2 linked regions of the Oreochromis niloticus genome follow. The protein of the gene in region 1 interacts with the protein of each later gene in a biochemical or structural test. Links are inferred from orthologs where the notes say so. Each region holds a gene or a part of one and is shown on either strand. Other genes may lie near its edges.

The links.
Region 2: the proteins of erbb2 (region 1) and blk form a complex in vitro, tested with the Homo sapiens proteins (2 studies listed by BioGRID and IntAct, with this or other methods). The link is inferred for Oreochromis niloticus from reciprocal best matches to the Homo sapiens genes ERBB2 and BLK.

What each region holds. Positions count from the first base shown.
Region 1 is NC_031973.2:16,304,481-16,315,559, reverse strand, and holds the start of erbb2 (receptor tyrosine-protein kinase erbB-2), read left to right. Parts: upstream 1-5,902; 5' UTR 5,903-6,357; coding exon 6,358-6,493; intron 6,494-6,499; exon of another isoform or gene 6,500-6,719; intron 6,720-6,874; exon of another isoform or gene 6,875-6,936; intron 6,937-8,008; exon of another isoform or gene 8,009-8,405; intron 8,406-9,233; exon of another isoform or gene 9,234-9,291; intron 9,292-11,079. UniProt on the Homo sapiens protein: Protein tyrosine kinase that is part of several cell surface receptor complexes, but that apparently needs a coreceptor for ligand binding. Essential component of a neuregulin-receptor complex, although neuregulins do not interact with it alone.
Region 2 is NC_031980.2:8,609,479-8,619,707, forward strand, and holds the start of blk (tyrosine-protein kinase Blk), read left to right. Parts: upstream 1-6,683; 5' UTR 6,684-6,746; intron 6,747-7,701; 5' UTR 7,702-7,788; intron 7,789-7,961; 5' UTR 7,962-7,962; coding exon 7,963-8,058; intron 8,059-8,182; coding exon 8,183-8,213; intron 8,214-8,579; coding exon 8,580-8,673; intron 8,674-8,770; coding exon 8,771-8,869; intron 8,870-8,997; coding exon 8,998-9,101; intron 9,102-9,215; coding exon 9,216-9,365; intron 9,366-9,871; coding exon 9,872-10,024; intron 10,025-10,116; coding exon 10,117-10,229. UniProt on the Homo sapiens protein: Non-receptor tyrosine kinase involved in B-lymphocyte development, differentiation and signaling. B-cell receptor (BCR) signaling requires a tight regulation of several protein tyrosine kinases and phosphatases, and associated coreceptors.

The DNA.
Region 1 (11,079 bases):
AATCTTCAGTAATGGGATAAATAAAATTGTTCTTTGTTGAGAAGAAATTAAGCAGGGGTTGGGTTTTTTCTGCACCTAGGGTTTATCCTGTCTTTATATTGCACAAATTCAGCTTTACATCATATGATTAAATATGAAAAAAAAAAAAGTACTCAAAATGCTAGCAAACAATAGAGTATGTGGTATGTGTGCATTGAGGAAGGCAGTAAAATATGCCAATGGTATTTGCTCTCTCGTGTCTCGCTGCTCTGCGATGTGGCAAACGCCATTCAGCAGCTGTTGTCCGAGAGCTGCCACTTCATAGCTGTCTTACAGAAACCATCACTCCATCTGTAGACTGAAAACGTTTCAGTTGCACAGGACTGTAAAGACACCATTTTTAACCCTTCCACTGGGATTTCTCTGCGTTGTACTGGTGTAAACGTTTCTCAAGTGGATGCATGAATGGTAAAAATGCACAAGCAGAAACATTCAAAGTACTACAAGTGCTATCAGGTAAACGCACTCTGGGGGATCACGTTACAAGCTTTGTCCTTAGTGAATACAGCTGAATGCTGCAAATGTTTATGTCCATGAGGGCAGGAAAAATAACTAAAAACTACTGGAAATGTTAATTATATATAGTATTTGATTCCTTGCTGGGCACAAAGTCTCGTTGGTTAAAATCATGAAGTGTTACGATAGTATTTAGACTTTTAGTGGATGTATTCCCGTGAACTGTGGTGTGGTTATGCTAGCACTGGCCCACAACCTGACCTAAGTCTTTGTACCGATAAATAACCTCTGCTCTGCACTCGCCTTCAGGGTTTTGTTTTTTTTTTAATGTTAGTGTTGAATAGAGCAGTGTTTCAGTGCCTGTGAAGTGCAAGGACAGAGGGGAAATTACAACAAAGCTGATATCCTTTTATAGTTCAGAAAAGATGTGATGTAAAGTCTCTGGAAAGCATATGATGTTATATTTTACAGTAAAAAGATGTTTATGGGAACTCTAAAGTAGCAGTTTTAATGGCAAACAAACCTAAAGATTTTTAATACAGCACAGTCATTTTTTTACAGTAAGAGCTTGATTTTGTAAGTTACATTTGGAATAATAATTTTTTTAAATGGTGGCAAATCCAGCTGTCAGACACACATTCCTAGTATACACTCTTTTCCCTTAATTCTTCATGGCATCGACTGAAAAAGGTGCTTGAAACATTCTTTAGAGATTTTGGTTCATATTGACATGACAGCATCGCACAGTTGCTGCAGATTTGCCACATCAATGATGAGCCTCTCACATTCATCCACATCCAAAACGTCTATTGGATTGGAATCTGGTGATTGTAGAGGCCATTTGAGAACAGTGAACTCATTGTGATGTTCCAGAGACCAGTTTGAGATGACTGAACTTTGACACCTTAGGCATGTTATCCTGCTGGAAGCAGCCACCAGAAGATCACACACTGTGGTCATAAAGGGATGGATATGGTTAGAAACAACACGCAGGTAAGCTGAATTAGTCAGGAGGAGCCCAAATATATCTCTAACACCAACAGCAGCCTGAACTGTTGATACATGACATGGTGAATTCATGGTTTCATGTTGTTTGCACCACATTCTGACCCTACCATCTGATTGTCACAGTAGAAATGTAGACTCATCAGATCCAGCAGCTCTTTTTCAAGCCTCTGTTGTTCAGGTTTGGTTTGCTTGACTTCCTGTTCTTAGCTGACAGGAATGGCACCCGGTGTGGTCTTCTGCTGCTGTAGACAATGTGCTTCCAGAGATCCTGTAAACAGAGGTTATTTTAGTTACTGTTGCCTTCCTATCAGCTCAAGGGAGTCTGGTTGTTCCCCTCTGACCTCTGATATGAACTGCAGCTCACTGGTTATGTTCTCGTTTTTAAACCATTCTACAGATCGTTGTTTGGGAAACTCCCAGCAGATCAGTAGTTTCTGACATATTCAGACCATGCCATGTTGAAACTCACCGAAATCATCTTTCTTCCCCATTCTCATGTTCAGTTTTCAGGTTGTTTTGACCATGTCTACATGCCTAAATGCACTGAGTTGTTTATCCACTTCACAGGCCTGTGAGTGTCTCTTACAAAGCACTGATGTATTTCCATTTCCTCCCACGTATACTTATAAAAGTTTAAGTAATCCTTAATTTTTCTTGCATTTAGGTGGATGATTTGAAGGAGTGTTGCTACACTAAACCTGTGTTAAAATGCATGAAATGTTCACAGCTAGAGGTATCAACAGAGCAGGACAAGTGAGTAGAGAAGTGACATGTTTGTCCCTCCCCTGTTACACTGCAGTCTAAAGGGCTTGCTGACCTTGTACTATTTGTGCCAGTGATATATGCACAGATACCTTCATTGTGTCTCCGATATAATCAAGACAAATTCCTTTAGACTTGTATTTGGATTTATGAGCAGCAGTGGGAAACAATATGGTTTTCTTGTCCTTGAAGAGTCCCGCACTGTATTTCTTATTTCTTCTCTCATGCCAAATCTAAAAACTTGGCCAGTCAGGGGAACTGAACTATGAGTGAATTTATGATGTTCTTTGGTAATGACTTCTTTTCTGTATATTTTCACTGTGCTTCACTGCAGTTGTCCTTGGACTCTCTCACTTGAACACATTATCTCTCACCCACTTCCTGGCCTCCTCACCTTTTAACCCACACAGACCTTTTTTTTTTTTTTTTTTACACACGTTTTATGTGTTCCTGAGAATTACAGCCATTTTTTCTGAAGCAATTTCCACCATCAAGTGTGATGAAAATTGCTGACTACTGGATCAGGTTTTATTGTAGCACAGCTTGCTAAAACGAGGAGTTGCATACAGAGCCAACAAACACTTAAAGTTTAAGACTTAAAGTTCACTGCTGGGAAAATCTTCCAACCAGAATACTAAACTGACTGCATCCCTCAGGAGCAGATGACTTTTTTTTCTGTGGGAACTAAATATTTCAGCCTCACTAGCACCACTCAGCTTCGCGAACGGTCCGCAACTTGTGGTCTGTGTGGCTCAGTGTGTAGCTTATTGTTGTTTTCTGATAGCTCTGTGCAGGAGGCTGGACTCTGACCCGGGCTTCTGTGGGTGGGGAGAGACGATAGATTGGGATGAATAGAGTTTATTCTTCCTCCTTCGACTCCTGATTTGTGACCGTGAATGAAGAGCATGAGAAAAGCGGGAGAAATATGAAGACACTCCAATCTTGTATCACGCAAAGAATTCACTTTTTTTTTTTTATAAATTCAACAGTCCCCTGATCTAAAATGTTGATTTGATTCATTCCTTAAATATTAATAAAGTTTTAATAGTCAAACATACTGATATACAAAGCAAGACTTACATCTAAAAATTTGCCAGTTTGCAAAAATAAACACATCGATATCAGTCAGTGTGATTCATAATGAAATAATGCAGCTAAGAGTGTAATCGTTGCCTCGATACATTTCAGATAATTTTTTTCATGTAACCAGTTTTCACATTTAATAATTCAAACAGGGAGTTTTACAACTTCTACAAAACAAAATGAAACTCTAATTAAACATGTTTGAATTTGTTAATTACGCGTTTTGACACAGTTATTGTAAAATGTGTCATTCTTTTAAACAGACATTTAATACTACACGTCAAATTGGTGAAATATTGTGTTAGTGGGATAATTGTTATGTAATTGTTCTAAATAAACTCTTGATGTAGGTCTTTTCTTATATGATAATGCACATTTTATGTAATTTTTGAAAAAACAGGCAATTTAACTTGAACATTTTTCAAATATCCTGATGTCCCCTTTTAATCTGAAATGTATTCACATTGTAAGGTTTCATGGATGTTTGGGGATCAGTATTACATCATGGATGTGGTGTAAGAAAGTGACTTTATTTAAGTGCTCATCACAGAAAAATAGAAAAAGGGGACGTACAAGAGAAAAGATTAAAGTACATTTAAAAAAGTAAGTGTCAGAACAGCCAATAAGAAGACACAAAAACCACATGTGTCTATGGCTCCATGACAACTGTATAATGCCCAGCAGTGAATGAGAGCATGGACCTGTAGGAATGTATACAGTACAATGTACCATTTTAAAATGAGTTACATTATATACACTGAATTTTACCATTTGCCATACAGAAAATTAATCAGGACAATGTTTTTTTTTTTAACTGTGTAACTTAGTACTTTACTCAGATAAAGGTCTAATTCACTTATATGTAAATGTTAAATATTATACTTTATACACAATACTGTTCATTTTAAATCTTAAGTTACTTACTGTCATGTAGATAATTTGCATTATTATAGATCTGCCGTGGTCCTGGGTTTTGGACCCAGCATTTTAAGTTTTTAAGTTAAAGTTTATGTTTTCAGTTCAGGGGTTTCTTTATTTTTCTTGTAATTATAGTATAGTCTGGTGTTAGTCATTGTTTCTTTGAGATCTAGTCTCTTTTATTTATTTATTTTTTATATCTCATCCCTTGTGCCTTAGTTTATTTTCACCGGTGTTCATTCGTGTTAATTTACTGTGTAAATGTGTGTCTAATCTGTAATTGTTATTTCCTTAGTTTCATTCTCCAGATTCTGTTTACTTGTGCCTAGATTTCTCCCAGTAGTGTTCACTTCCCTTGATTAGCACCCAGCGTGTGAGTTTTTATAGTCCTGTGTTTCCTTTGTTCATTGTTAAATTGTCTGTTTGTTATCCTCTTGTGTTTCCAGCCTATTTCCAGTCGGATTTTGTTTCTCCTGTTAGACCTCTGTTATTTAAATTCTCCTTGTGGACTTCTTGAATGTGTTTTGGACTTTTCTTCACCTTTAATAGAGGTAATTTTCTGTTTTACATCTGCCTGCCTCAGAGTCCTGCATCCATCCAGAACCTGCTTATCATAACAAGCTGCCCAGAAATATATAAGTAATTAAAATCATCCTGAGGTGCAACAGTGTTATTTACATCAATGAGTAAGTAATTATGAAAACACCCTTCTACATAATCTGCATGTTTACTGGAGGTGCTTTAAATGTGTGATGGTTATACAGCCGTTGCGTTACTAAGTTACTTAACAATTATTACTACTTTTACATAATCAAATTATTTTTTTTAACTTTCCAAAATAATCGACCAACACAAAATTATGTTTAAACTCTTGTAAAGCACCACTTTTCATGTTATACAGTCATAGTATGGGTCAGGGACTGAAAATCACAGCCAGGCTTTTCAAAGTCAATGCTCTATACAAAAAATATTTATCCCCAAAATTCTAACTTTAAGTAATTTGATTACATGTAAATGTACAGTGTGAAACATTTAATGCAATCTGGTGAATGAAATGTATTTGATTGTTATGTGGTCAGCTTACACCAAGCATATTTCCCTTAATGGTTAATTATTTGAATAAATAAACCTTTGAGTTTACACATTTCAAGTGCATTTTATTCAAACTTAACCCTTCATATTTGAGGGTCAAGAATACTTTTTGAGAGCCCAGATTTTGCTTCTCATAAACACAGGGTGTATCTAAAGAAATCATCAGATTGCAAAAGGTTAGGTATTTTTTTAAAGCAATGGACACAGAAGTTTGTGGTAATTTTTTTTTAAATACATTGCTGAAAATAAAGTTTAAAATAACAAAACTTACAACTTGTTCACAAGTGTTTAGTGTGTCCTCTTCTGGATGCACGGCACATGTCCATACGAAAGGCAAACTCGTCCCATACTTTTGCGGGCATGTCTGGAGTCACTGCTGTTGTTTTGCTACCCACAGACAACCGTGCAAAACTCACAAATCTGCTTTTTCGACCGTTTCCAGTGAAGGGCTGTGGAATTAAAGCACTTTGAAATCAGATGATTTTTTTTGTTCTTTTTTGGATACACCCTGTATGCTGACCCCCACCCCACCCCTCTGTGGCACCCTACTGTAAAAAATCCCGGAAACGCCCCTGCATATAGCCAATTTGACTTTTCCCCTTTACTTCCAAGCGATAGAAGGCATACTGAAATTTTTAAAAAGATGGTAGCATATTCACAGATTATGCATGAACAGGGTAAATGCTTTAATTGTTCTCCATATTTAACACTTTGATCCACTTGAGCCCTCTGAGGAGAAATAAGCGCAATTAAAGTTTGAAGGTAATTTTTAGACATAATTAGAATGAAACGTGTTATAGGGTTAAGTAAGTCAGACCGGAGTGAGGGCGGGTTGACTGAACCTGCCACTCCCCGTTCAGGCCTTCACGCCACGGGAGCGCGCCTCCGCTCCTGTTACGCGCTTACTACCAACAGGCAGGGAATTCATGGGAGGAAGTAACTGAGATTCGGACACGAACAACAACTCCACACGGTGCCAGAAACGACAGTTAGCTCTAAATGAGATGCAAAAACTTCATCTCTGTTCCCCCCAGATGGACTAGAAGCGCCGGGTCTGCGCAGATGGAGGCGGCGAGAAGTTTGCTGTTTGTCGGGGCCGTGCTGCTCGGAGTGACGGGCGCTTCAGGCAGAGAAGGTGGGTAACTTTCAGCGCTTTTCCCCTGTCTCTAATACCTCCGCCGTCGGCAAAATAGAACCACGGAGCGTCGGGGAGATGGCACAGGAGTGTGCTGGCTGTAATTTCAGGAAATGCTGGAGGTTTTTTTCTGGTCCGGAGGACTACATTCCTCCGTGACTCCTCAGCCGGGTCCTCTCAGCCCTCCTGGGATTTATGAAGGGCTGATTATGAGGAAAAATCACACCTGTCACAAAACAGCCTCGCTTTAGATTTACAGTTTGGACCAAAATAATTTTTAAAAAGATTTAAAAAATAAATAAACACAAATCTCCAATCTTGCAACACTTTGACTTGCTCAAATAAACACAGAGCAGAGACTCAGGTAAGAAATATGAGAACCTGCTTTGCAGCTTTGCGACACAACTGACTTGTGCACTGCAGGCGGACGGTTCGTGGCTTTGCTGTAAACACAAACAAAAACAAGACACTAAACAGGCAGTGCATTGTGGGCCAAGGATCATGACGATGTCAATTATTCACTCCTGGCTCTAAAAGGGGGACATTGTGCGATAGAGGGGCCACTTGTCACACTTGGAGCTTGAGTACGTGCCAGTAAAACAAGAGCTAACTGGAAGGTGCAAAAGAGCTGCAAATCATATTTTTGCTTGTTTTTCATTTTATTATAGGTTTTGGGGGGATAATAATAATTTATAATAATAAATAATATAATTTAATGCTTGATCTGGTGGTCAGTCAGTACTTGGACTTGAGATATTTAATTTGTTAACTGAGAAAATGATTGGTTGTGCAGATTAATGGGTGCATATGGACCTGTATAGATCTATTTTAGGTGTATTTGGGGAGATCAATAATCCCCGGCCAGCTGCTTTTAAAAGCAGTTTTATTGGCACATGCTAATAGAAAAATGAATCTGAACTCAATAACAATTTATTCTACAGTGCTCACTTTATTGACATACAGCTGTTGGCTTTCATTGATGTGCACAAAATAAAGAAAGAGCCCCCTTTGGGGTTTTTCATTCAAGTCCCCCTCACAACTAAAATGACTAATGTAAGTACAAACAACTGTCTGTTTTATTAGCTGCTCTCTCCCTCTCTCTCTCTCTCACACACACACACACACACACACAAACAAAGCCTATAGTCACAGGTGAAGTGATTTTCAACTATGACTGCATTGTTGGTGGGAACTGGTTGGTGCACTTTACTCAATCTGTGAAGCATCAGTTCAGGACGAGCGCTCCGACTGGCTCCAGAGTGAATCTCAGCAGTCTTACTTTCAGTTATGAAGTATTATTAAAGTGTTATATCACACACACACTCTTTCACCTCCCCGTCCCCGTGTGTGTGTCTGTGTTCAGTGGCCTTTGTATCCATAGAGTTCGTGCCCTCGTCACACTCTAGTGAAGCTCACTGTGCACTGATTAAGTCTTACTGAAGTGGCCTCAGTGATAGGCTAACTCAGCCTGCTGTGACTCACCAGTCTAGACTGCATGTTACTGATCTAACTCACCCGGAGATGAGAGCGGGACCACCAGAGAGGCATCGCTGCTGTCCTCCGAGGAGACTTTCAGCCTCTTCTTCCGTATGTCTTCTCTTCACCCGGCTTTAAGAGTATAGTGGGAAAATCCTCGGAGGAAATAAAGTGTTAGACAAATAAAGTGTCATCAGTGTGACACTCAGAAATACTGCTGACATCTTCTAAACTCTCAGTATTTAAACGATTGCCTCAGCTACCTGTTTGTGTTAGCAGAATGAAATCATGGGGAAATAATTAAAAGAAACCCTGTTATTTTCACTATTTATTAACTTCCCTGTAATTCATAATAGGTCTGTAACAGTGATACTCAACTTGCGGCTCACAGGCCAAATCAGGCTCGGCGTAGGGTGCTGGCCAGCTCTCTATAAAACTAAAGAGGTTGCAGTTATTTTTAATGTAGTGTAAACTTTCAAAGCATCCATAACTAAAATGCAGTAGCATCTCATGAGCGCGGTGAAATTATTATGCATCATAAGGGCCAAAAAGCCCTTCCAACAAGGCCATTCATTTGGAAATAAATGATTTAAAAGAAAGGAGTTTGCTCTTTTTACTGCCCATTCATTCAGTCTGATAACTATTATAAATATATTAAAAATTCTTCTTATTAAACAACCTTTTGTTTGATGTGGTGTTTGTAAAAACTCCCTCCAGGTAAAACATGTAACGTATCCCATGTCTGCACGACGTTGCAAGTAAGGAGCTACGGGTAAAAATGCTGTTTCAAACCCTCGATTCCAAACTTAGAAACAAAGAATCGTGTTGTATTTTCAGTACAATATAAACAAAAACCATAACATATTTTCCAGGGTTATTTAATTAATTAAATATAATTTCTGTCCCTCATAAAATAAGGAGTTGATGAGAGAGATCATTCAAATGAAAACTAGCACAAAATTGCTAAATATGAAGCTAGCATATTCATCCATAATGGAGAATAGTGCTGGGTGATATGACAATATATATCGTGTGGACGATAGAAAAGTGTCTATCGTGCCATTTGTCTTCTATCGTTTCTATTGTTTCTAACCCTAATTTTATAAATTATTACATAAAATATATCATTAATTAACCCTTTACAACTGGTCGGAGCAGGCACACTCCGTTTTGCCTAACTATTTTTAAATCCCTGTAGAACTGGAACCACGTAAGGTAGCGCAATAATTTTTTTGGCATATGAAACCGTAGGAGTTGTACTTACATGTTATTCCATTAGCTTGCTCTAGGTCACGGTTTCCTTCCACATATAGCTTTGCAAAAATTGCATAAAAAGCACTTCCAGCAACAAAAACATAATATTCCAGACTTGCAGCAACAAAAACAATATTCCAGAAACAGGCTTTGCGATCCGATCAGCTGTTCATAACACTTCCTATGTTGGAATATAAGTAACCCCAAACATCGTATGTCCGCCATTACCTTTCCGAAACCGGAAGTGACGTCATTTTCGCGGAAAATGTAGTTTTTTACTTTTTATAGCCTATGTTGGTGTTTTTAAAAATCATGTTTGACTTTATGCTTTTCTGTATCGTTTCCGGGATGCTTAGAAGTCAAATTACACTGTTGGAAATAGTTTATTTTGATGCACATGCTGTTTTTTTGCAAATTTGCATTATAATATTTATTTTCATTTTTCCTGTAGTATATAAAAATTAGTGTATCTCAAAAATAAAACTATGAAGACACTCAAAATAAATTTCTCGTGGTTGGAAACTATTTTGTGCAACTTTCTTGTATTTACAGTTTTGAGGGATAAGCCTCTTAAATTTCTCTAAGTAGAAATACATGTAAAAAACAAAACAAAAACAAAAAAACGATTTTCAATTTTTTTGTAGTTTATTGCACTTTTTTGCAATTTATGTAGTTACTATGGACTTAATGCATACATATCATTAAAATTTGGGCTATAACGGTTGTATTGATGTATAGCAACTTGAAATGCTCCCACAAATGGCACTACAGCATGTAAAATGTAAAGATAAGCTCTGGTGGACTTGGTCTCATGGTAGGTCTTAAAGAGTTAAATAGCCTGTGGCAAATATATTAGTGTTGTCTTCTCACTATACATACTCTTAACTTTATGCAAGAGTACATAAAGTATAAAAAAAAGATATTTTTCACAAAGAAACTCCGTCTTGTGGTTTTGCGACATGGTGCTGCTTTACGTGCACCCGGATTTGTGACATGCTTTACGGTAACTCAAAACAAAGACTGCACCCTCTCCACTCGCTGTTTACAGACTGCATACTTTCCAGATGACCACAGGTCAGGTGGTATATCGTGATATATATCGTTATCGTGATTATAAAATAATTCATATCGTGATAAATATTTTTTCCATATCGCCCAGCACTAATGGAGAAGTAATTATTTTTTGGAGTGGTGTGTGCAGGCGGGTGACAGATCAAAGGCAAAACCCGAATGTGCATCCGGAGGAAAGACTAATTCAAATGCTTCCACAGAGGTGCACCGTATGCTAAATATTGACCGTTTGCAGCACGTGTGTGCTTTAAATGTCACTTCCACACGAGACTCTCGGGACCAGCTGAATGTTTTTGTGAAGTAACTTTAGGATGATTAATGAACCTATGCACAATGTTATCTTCAAGCTATGAAACCTGAGTTACAAGCCCTTGAAGTACATAAGGGTGGGTTGAAGTTTGCCTGTATTTTCAAAGCCTCATGACTTCAGCAAGTAGACGCATTCATTTAAGCTCTGTTTAAAAACTGCAGCCAAGTTCATTTTAGATCCACTCCAAGTGCATCAATCTAGAGACAAATTGCATTTCTTGGTAATGGGTGGCCGATCAAAGCGAATTAAAGTACCTAAATTTTGATATTGGGTTCATCCTCTGGCTGTGAATCATTCTGGATCGAAATCATTGTTTTTTTTTTCTAAGTGTTTATTTGCAACTCTTTCAAATTCTCCTCTAAGGGAGTGACATGGGAACTTCATCTATGGAGTGACCCAATAAGAGTTATTAACATACTAAGAATTAGACACTTCTGAATATCTAAATGTTTTAAAAGTAATTTAAGTATTTTTT
Region 2 (10,229 bases), on another chromosome or scaffold:
GGAAACTCAGTATGCAAAAATTGAAAATGGAACTTCATTTTATGGGTGTATGGGTGCAACAGTTGTATAAAAGTCCCTCCATGACTAGCTTACACTCTTAGATAAAACAGCAAGCTAGCTGCTATAACAATCATACAAAATTTTAACAACTTTTTTTTAATATTCTTCTGTGTTTTCACAATCTGGTCTTGAATATGAATATCGACCATCACCAGTAGTTTGGCTACTGTTGGTTGGTTGGTTGGTAATTTATTTCAACATGTGAACAATATACAGGTACATTTAGAAAAGAAAATAAGAGAGAGAGAGAGAAAAAATACTATACAAAATACATACAAAAAACCCCCATTCTGATTAATTTACATGTTGAAAGGGAGTGAGAAGAAGTAAACACTTATTTAATCCCACCCTGTTGCCATAAATACTGTGTAGGACTGTTATGAAAATGCATGTCTTACCACATCCTTAGTGAGACAGGCAAGTGTGCAGACAAGTGTGTAGCATGTCGCTGACAAGCTGGCACAGCTTCTGCCAATCCAGGAAACTGCTGAGTCATTTAGTTAGTCTAGCAAATTTGACTGTGTCACTGAAGCTAAAAGAAGGATTTCATTTATTGATTGATTAATTAATGATTAATAAAGGATACTGCTTACCTGGTGGTTTATCAGTGTGCCAAATATTTATTAAATAGCTAGCAGCTAGGGAGTTAAATATCTATTTAAGATATGTTTCTCAGGAAAACTCCCCCTGTTTTAAAAACTCCAGTGGCATGGTAAAGTTGGTCTGTGGATGCATCATGCAAAACTAAGCTAAAATTAAACAAGCTAAAACAAAGTCTCAACCTCTGGGGCTGAAAAATGAAGGTAATCTGGACCAGCTAAGAAGGTAACACCTTCAACGTCTGGGAAACTACAGTCAATCGCAAACTGACAGGTCAGTGTTTTATCACAGTTAATCGCTGTAGTATCACAAACAGCTTTCATGTAATTGCCAACTTGACAATTCAAATGCAATCTGATGGCAGACTGATTTCACACCGATGGCCACTGTTGTATGAGGCGCTGTTTGTAAACTGAAACAAGCTGAAATTAACGGCAACATTTTTCCACATTTAGCTCAAAACCTTACAAGAACATGTTTTTTCAAGTCACTTTTTACAACATTTACTAAAATATTTGTAACTTTTTATATTCAAAACACAATTTTAAATGTTAAATGTTTTCAGCTTTGCTTTGTGTTGTCGACATTATGTTAAAACTTAAAAACCCTTAAAGAAAGATTGTGCGTGTGCCCTCATTAGGATAGGGATTTGTGTCGGCATGTTAGCTTAAGCCATAAATTGTTAATTGATAATTATGTGACAGTTCATTTCAGGTCATGTTACAGAATAACATGAAAGTAATGTAACGAGTAATGTAACAAATTCACTCTCCCAGCAATACTGCTGATGGCAGACAGCTTCAGTCTTACTGACTTTTTCGCAATCTTGACGCACCAGAGATGCTTTGAAGGCGACAACTGTCTGCAAGGTCCCCTTCAAACCTTTTCAAAGATTGCACGCTCACTGAACACATTGAGAAAAATGTTTTTGTTGTGCTGTGGTCTCTAGCTGTCATTTTCCCTAGCATGACTGTAGCATTATAGATGAAATAAAAAACGTTTAACCTGGTATGAGACACTGTTCCAACGTGGGTGTGTATCAGAGGACATGGGGATTTTTATTATACGTCACCCATTCAAGTTCTGTTAAGGCTTAAAGTTTCTGTTATTAGAGGTGTGGCCACTTCTGCTGACTAAGTAGCTAGCTATTTGCTAGGCTTCACCTGAGCTTATTTGACTTACTGTGTTTCAACACTTCATTTGTGTTGTTTGGGCCTTTTGGCTGTACCATACACCAGAAATAACGCCAACAGTAAGAAGCGTGCGATGTTATCATACCAATCAAAAACATTAGTCTAGTCCAGCAACCAACAAGTATTTTTTGTCCATTTAGTAAACAGGGATGAGAATAGAGATCTTTTACATTATATGTCAATGTGCCCACTAAATAACTCTTTCTTAAAATATGTAGCAAAGTATATTCTTGTATAAACTAGCTCATTTAAACAACAGTTATGTGTTTAAACAGGCTCCAGATTACAGATGGAAGCTGTCTGCGATAAGGACAGTGCCAGTTTGTTTACAGAGGAGGAAATGTGATCAACTGTTTTCCAAAATGAGTTTCACTAAAAGCAGAAGCTGTTTTAAATTCAAAATGTCATCAGTTTTTAATTCTAATCCTATCGAATAAAAATATGTGTTATTGTCTGGTAAGAATGTTGCAGTAGTGTTTGATTTGCTGAGATGAATTGAATCCTCAAATCTTCTGGAAAAGCAAAGACCTTTTGAGGAAGCACCTGCCCGCTGGCACAGGATAATTTCCACAGTAAACACTGGAAGAGTGAGGAACGTCATCCGGAGCACAATAATAAGGGGTTTTCCCGCAGCCATGTTTACCTCAGAGCAACTTGCCCCTGGAACAGCTGCACAGATTTGCTCCCAAGTACATTAATGCAAAATCCTACTGCACGTGTTTTTTAAAAGTTTCATAAGCAGCCTTTAATTAAGGGCAGTGCAGCTACTGGTAACTTAGAATCTTATAGTCATGCATTATTTTACCTTAAATATGCAAAGGAAGAAATAACTGCTAGATAAACATGCTGAATTCAGCAAATTATGGCTGCTATCTTATATACAGTATACTGTCTGATTAAAAGTGCTATTACAGTGAATTCCACAAATTAAGCTACAATATAGCTGAACCAGTGGTGTGTTATGTCTGCAGTACAAAGAGCATAATATGGGAAAATAGTACAAGGAAAACTGAAGCTCAACTAAAACTCATGAACATCCTGGAGGTACAGCAAAGGGGCCTGTTCAATACATCGGGGGAGCTCAATTGTTCCTTGTTTATTGACAATCACTTTGTCTTTTTATGGCAAATGTAGCAGCAAGACCTTCTCTCAGTCGATGTGTGACAGAGGATAAAAAAGGTTCCCACACTGAGAGGAAGTCAAAGAGGGGCCACTTCTGATGCGGAGGGGGATCAAAATTGAGGAAAGTGCGTGCGTGTGAATGTGCGTGGTCTAGGTATTACTCATCTTGTGGGGACCACAATCAAAAAGGGACAAAAAGTATGCGTGTGAGTGGATGTGTGTCTGTCTGTGTATCTAAATAAATAAAACCTATGGTAAGATTTGAAACAGCACTAGCTTGCCGCACAGAAATCATTGTATAGCTTTTCTGAAAACACCCCCACCCCCACCCCCACGAACACACAATTATAAAACACGCACATTTGCAGTCACACGCAGCGCACACTCACATTAATAATGGGAGTTGAAAGTATCTATTGGCAGCATGTATACTTTTGGCACAGAGGTGGTCAGAAGTGCATTTACTAAAGGAGACCCACGCTCCCTTTCTTTCCCACTGTTGTTCAGGTTATCCTGTGGGGCCACTTATGACCCTTCTGCAGGCAGGATGCAATGTCTGGGGACCCCAACAGAGCTGTACACGAGCATCCGCCAAGCCCTGGGAAGAAAACAAGGGCTGATGGAAAACTAGAAGAAAGGAGTATAAAGAGAAACGGCAGTTAGTAACCAGGACGCACTCAATAACACTCACCATGCACCTGCAGCCTGTGTGTGTGTGTTTGCGTAAATGTGTGTACATGTGTGTACAGTGAAGCAAGGTTGTTCCTTCAGTGAACTACAGCATAGCACAATCCCCACACACAGCACAGGTGGTCCAAACAAAAACCTGTGAAGTGTTGCCCAGAGAGTAATATCCCCACGTTGTGTGTTGTATAAACCCCCCCATAGGAAACAAACACTTCCGGTGTTGTAAGATTTATTGTTTGGTGCACTTATAGGTTACAGTATACTGTGACTGATATCTTCCTTATACGGTTCTTTGATTTATTCTCAATATTTAATAGCAATTTAGCATGCACGTGAGACATGAAAGGGTCATAATTACTGCTAGATAACTCAAGGACATATTGTTTTGTGTTTATTGTCTCACTCTGAAGAAGAGGGGTGAATTCCCTTGGCAGTGCATTGTGTGGTGAGAAAAGGAAAGACCTGGTTAACTGTTTTGTATGGTGTGAAAAACCAAAGCATTGTTGTACTGACCGCACACCATCTTGCTAAATTTTTGCCCCAGATAAGTCACGATTTGCATTCGATTTCACATCTGCACACCTCCACCTGCACCACATACAACACAGAGGAATCCACAACGGTTCAACACTATGCTTCTATATGTGATGTCATTGTAAGGGTCATATATACATAGAAATGCCAAGAATTAGTCAGAAATGGTTACACAACTTTGAACTGACCTACTGTAAGGACAGTCTGGGATTAGAATAAGTCTGGTTACACCCTCTAGTGTCAACACTGGGGAACATCGGGAAGCAATTTCTCATTTTGAATAGTGCTATAAACAACAATAGTATCAGTACCATTAAAAGTAAGCTAACTAACATGAGATCAAATTATGGCCACATTTCTTGCCCTGTAACCATTTTATATACAAGCAGAAAGATGTCTTAACTTTTTGCTTGACTCACTAACCTAAAGTGTATCTTTATTAAGTATTTGGTGGTATTGCATTGAGAAGTCATTATAAGCAACGCACAGTCATGTGAAAAACAACATTGTCACAACACTCATTTCATACGTTGCAATATTTGTGTGAAAAACTAAAAACGCCCAATGATTCAGTAGCTTATAGCAGTGACCTGAAGTAACCACTTTCTGTATGACTGCATCAGTCTGTCACTGTCCACTCTACTCTATAACACTATTTTTTTAAGGCATTTGTTTATGCACAGCTCTCTTAAGGTCCTGTAACAGCATTTGAGATCTGGACTTTGACTGGGTCACTGAAACATCTTGATTTTTTCAGACATACTCTTGTAGGTTTGCTGCTGTGCATTGTCCACCGATTATTGTACACGATCCAGTTTCAGCCAAACTTTAGCTGTTGGACGGATGACCTCACATTTGACTCTAAAAAACTTTGGTTTAACGCCGAGTTCATGGTGGAGTCGATACCTGCAAGGTACCCTGTGGCTGCAAAACAAGCCCAAATTATCAACCCGTCAACCGCCATACGAGACACTGGTATGAGGCGTTTGTGATGACATGCTGTGCTTGGTTTTGGTTTGTTTGGCGAAAGCATCATGGCCAAACATGTTCATTCTGGTCTTGTTGGTTGAAAAGACAGTATTTAAGAAGTCTAGGTTTATTCAGATTCATCTTTTCAAGCCTAAAATGCTCATTTTAGAGAGAAGAGGGTTTCCCCTTGGTGACCTTTTCAAACCAGCCATACTTATTCAGTCGTTTTCTAAACATACTGCACTGAATGAGGCTTTTAGAGTCTCAGATGTAGCTCTTTGGTTACCTTTACCTTCGTTATTGCTATGGAAGCAGTATGAGTGTTGTTTGTTTTTTACAGTACTGCACAGAGTGCTATAAAAACATTTTCATATGACTATATTTAACTACTTTTGGGTTTCCTGTGTAATAGAACTTATTGCATACAGCCTTAATAATGAAAAAGTATCAGTAAATGGGAATTGTGAAATCTTGCTCTGTTATTACATGGAAACAGACTTAAACTGAGTGCATGTTTTGGGATATACACCTTCACACTTTACTGTTTTCTGTGGTCATCAGGCAATATAGGCAAAAGAAGAGCTGCAAGGCCCTCATTTGTTGCTATTGTTACTGCAATAAAAATATTAATTAACACAATAGTAATCAGTTATTGACATTAAAACTTGCATAAAATTTATAAAGGGGTATATTACCAGGGTGGTTGCACATCCCACTAGTAGCTGAACACTCCCTCTTGTGGCTGGAATTGTGTATTGTTTTACAGTATTACTGTAAACATGTTTCTTGACACTGAAAGGTAAAGATATGAGTAGCAGAGGCCAGCAGAGGAACTGAAATGTGTGTCATGGAAACCATGCCCTGTTTCTTTATCTTGCATCTTATACACTTGAGCAGACAACACTCCACCACACCTACATTTAACACCAATCACCCAGACACACAATACAACACAGTGCAGACACTTCTTTTTTTCCATTGCATTGTCGATTTGATACCAAAGGTCATTTGCATTTTTTAAAAAAAGATCACAGGCACAATTTTTGCAAATCATTGACCGCATCTACACATTCTGAAGTAAAACAAGCTCTACTGATAGCTAACCTAAAGTCCTTCTTGACCAATAACTTTGAGGACCATACATTTGTGAGTTTTAATACTTAAAGATGACATACAGTTATCAGTTGTGTTCACTGACTAATTGCAGGACTGGGGCGGGGTAACTACTGCAAGTGAAATTTAATCAGAAGATTATTTTTGCACTCTGTAGGTAGATCATCTGCCTGAGAATCAAGGGAGAAATGTAAGAGACCAGACAAAAGAGCAAACTGCTGTCTGTTTCCAGTAAACTGAATGTAACCCCAAAGGGGAGGTCCTGGTCTTCACTGTTAGAGAGAGAGAGAGCGAGAGCAAGAGAGAGAGAGAGAAATTAGAGCAGAGCAAAAGAGAGAGAGAAACTTTCCAAACCAAAATGAGTGAGTGAGAGTGACACACTGACAAGCACTCAGTTTTCAATGAGGAAATTGAAGACATTTTGCATCTGGAGTACTTCTGAAGACACGAGCCAAAGACAAGCTAAAGGTATTTATCTGCTGAATGAATATATTACATTATAGAGCAGTGACAGGCATTGAGAATTTCTAGATATTGTAAGGTAATGGTGAACATAATAGTGTAAGTAATATTTTATTTAAATAATGGTGTACAATGTTGGTAAAACACATCAAAAATTAAACAAAACATAACGCGTAACGTGGATGATCAAATATGTGCGATAAATAATTGGCAAAAGTATCAAGGCTAATTATTATTATGAATTTTCATTTCAATTATCACTTTTTTCCGCGTGAAATCCATAAGTCAGCGGTTTGTGTAAAGCCTCCCTACAGGCATGCATTTCATGACATATTGTTATTACACACCACTGAATATTAAAGCACTGCTCTTGCTGTTTTAGGGGTAATTTTCCATTTTAAGACGTAATTAAACCATCGATATTGATAATACGGTACTTACACATACAGTCTAAAGCATACACAACACTCTACACTACTCTGCTACATCATTATTTTATCAGTGTTGTATATTTGCATGTGCAGTCATTATCTTTAGCTTTTGTAATACACATTACATCAACTATATTTGACTTTGTGATCTAAAAAACACTTTTAAGTTTTAACATTAACACCTCATAAAACTTGCTTCAGACAAACAGCAGTTCTTTTTTAACACCATCGCTTGGTTTGGTATCATTTCTACACCAGTGTGTTTTTAGCTATTTTTAGCCGTTTTCTTTTCCTCTATTTTTAACTGAAACTTGACAATGAAGCCCCATCATAAACTGTACATGCTAATGCAATGGTAAAGAGCTGTAAACACATTTTCACTTCCTCTTTTGAGAGCCAGTTTTTGTTTTTTGTTTTCTTGTTTCAATTTTATTATTTTTTTGGGTCACCTGTTACCAAGCAATACATCTAAAGAGATGCTCACTAAATACATTTTTAGCAATTTTGAGTCATTAGATGTCGTTTTCCAGCACCGGGCATGAAGTCAAAGAGCAGGCCCTGCAGTGGGAGGAGTGGAGACTAAAAACAGCAGCAGGAAAGCTCATCTGTTTGATCAGGTAAAAGCAAAGTATTGAGCACATTGTAGCTATGTGAGTGTCTTTCCATAAACTTGTTGAATCATTGTTTACTGATACCACACTAAACAGTGCATTCTGTAATTAGATATGTTATTTTAGTAAATGTTAGCATCATGTAACATAGCTAAAAGAGATTTCCACGAAACATGCAGGATGGGCTGCACTTGCAGTGGCGAGAAACAAGTAAAAGAAGAAGGATTCTACAAAGGAAAACACAAATCACACGCCTCCCCGTCATCAAACCATATAGTAAGTAAAACACTAAAAAGATTTACTCAGATGTGAAACAAATTTTACTCTAATTACCTCAAAAGGTTTACTTGACAAACTGGACATAATCAACGTCTTCTTTTTTTCTCTCCATTCTTTCAAGGGACGAAGTGGAAACGCCTATACAAATAATGGTAATCACAAACCTCCTTGCATAAATCAAACATCATAGTAGAAAGTAACAGGCCTGCATTCATGGACCCAACTGCTGCTGCGTTAAGAGACATTAGTGGCAGTAATAAGAGCTACAGTTTTGCGATCGAAATCTCGGTTGAATTTCCTCTGTTCTCTTCTGGGGATTAGATGAGATTGCAAATACATGAAAGTAATGTTAATGTCACAGATGTAAAATAACACAGCGGTTGCTCGGAGAAGGAAAACAATATCACCACAAATTGCGCATGTTAGAACACAGGATCATGTCAAAATAAAACGTCTAAGAGTAAAAAGCAGATTAAAAATACACTTTTAAAGAAACTCTGTGCTCTTCTTCCCTTTAGATGACACTATATTTATTGCACAACACGACTTCAAAGCGACCAACGACAGTGATCTGCCTTTCAGAAAGGGAGACAAACTTAAAGTATTGCAAGAGTAAGTCTCATTCTATGGTTCCCACAGTTGTGAAAGTGACAATAAAGAAAGCGCACAGAGAAATAAAATGAATGCGACGTGTTTGTCTGATGTACAGAACCGGAGAATGGTGGCTGGCCCGACTGCTGACGACTGGACAAGAAGGCTTGATACCATCGAATTATGTAGCCAGAGCAGATACACTGGAAGTGGAAAAGTAAGCTTGAAATATTATGGAATGAAATGTAGCACGCATCTATTGATTGATTAATGTTGTTGTAATGCTTTGTATTATTATATTCAGGAAGAGTGACTTCTATGGTTTTGTGGTGCTCTCTCTTGCAGATGGTTTTTCAAGGATTTGGGCAGAAGAGAAACCGAGAGGCTACTTTTAGCACCCGGAAATAAACCAGGGGCCTTTCTAATTCGAGAGAGTGAGACCTGTAAAGGTGACCACCATCAGTATCTTTCCGTGATCATGCCACAAATCACATTTTTAGCAGCTACCTGTATTCATTTTCAGTGTGGTCAATAAACCCAAATGTCCCTTTTTCCCCTCTCAGGGTCATTCTCGCTGTCAGTCAGAGATTATGAAGGGGAAAGAGGAGATGTAGTAAAACATTACAAAATCCGTTGTCTGGACAAAGGTGGCTACTACATCTCCCCTTCCAACACGTTCTCGACCCTACAGGAATTGGTTCAATACTATACCCGTAAGTAACAACTACAAATACAACATCTCCACCCTCAAAAAGTTTGTATTTTCAGAGATGTATAATTTAAGAAACCATATCTATGCACAGGATTTTCTGTTTCTGTGTTTCCAATTCAGCATTTATAATTGTAAATCCTGCATCTTGCATTGATTTGGACTCAGGTTAAGCTTGCTGCTTTGAATTATAAAACATCTGCAGTGACTTTGAATTAAAGGGGGAAGTTCGACCCTTGTGATGTGTTGTGCATTTCCTGAGTGAGAGGAGTGATAGTCTTTCCACTCCTGCGACTAAACCACAAGATAAGCAGGCCAGATCTTGAGAAAGGTTGTCTCAAAGATCAACTTATGAAAAAGAAATGCATGTGAGCACGAACAAACATGCTTTTAGAATTATCTAATGAAAGATGAGATGTATGGTTTCTGTAACTAAATTTATCACTCGTGCAAAGAAAGATGGAAAAAAATATTGTTTGTTATATCTGAATGTATCGTATTTGGGTGCAGACACGGCAGATGGGTTATGTCAGCGACTGTATGCTCCCTGTAAGCCTATGGCCCCTCAGCAGCCATGGGCCCATGATGAATGGGAGATTCCTCGAGAGACAGTGAAAATGGTGAAGAAATTGGGGGCCGGACAGTTTGGGGAAGTGTGGATGGGTAAGGGAAAGCCACCGATCAAACTGTTTGGAGACACCTAATAAACCAAGATGGCAAAGTCAATAAAGCATTCTGTTTGAATTATTTGGCAGGTTACTACAAGAACACCCAGAAGGTTGCTATTAAGACCTTAAAGGAGGGGACAATGGCGCCTGAGGCCTTCCTTCAGGAGGCCAACCTGATGAAGCAGTTGAAGCATGACCGA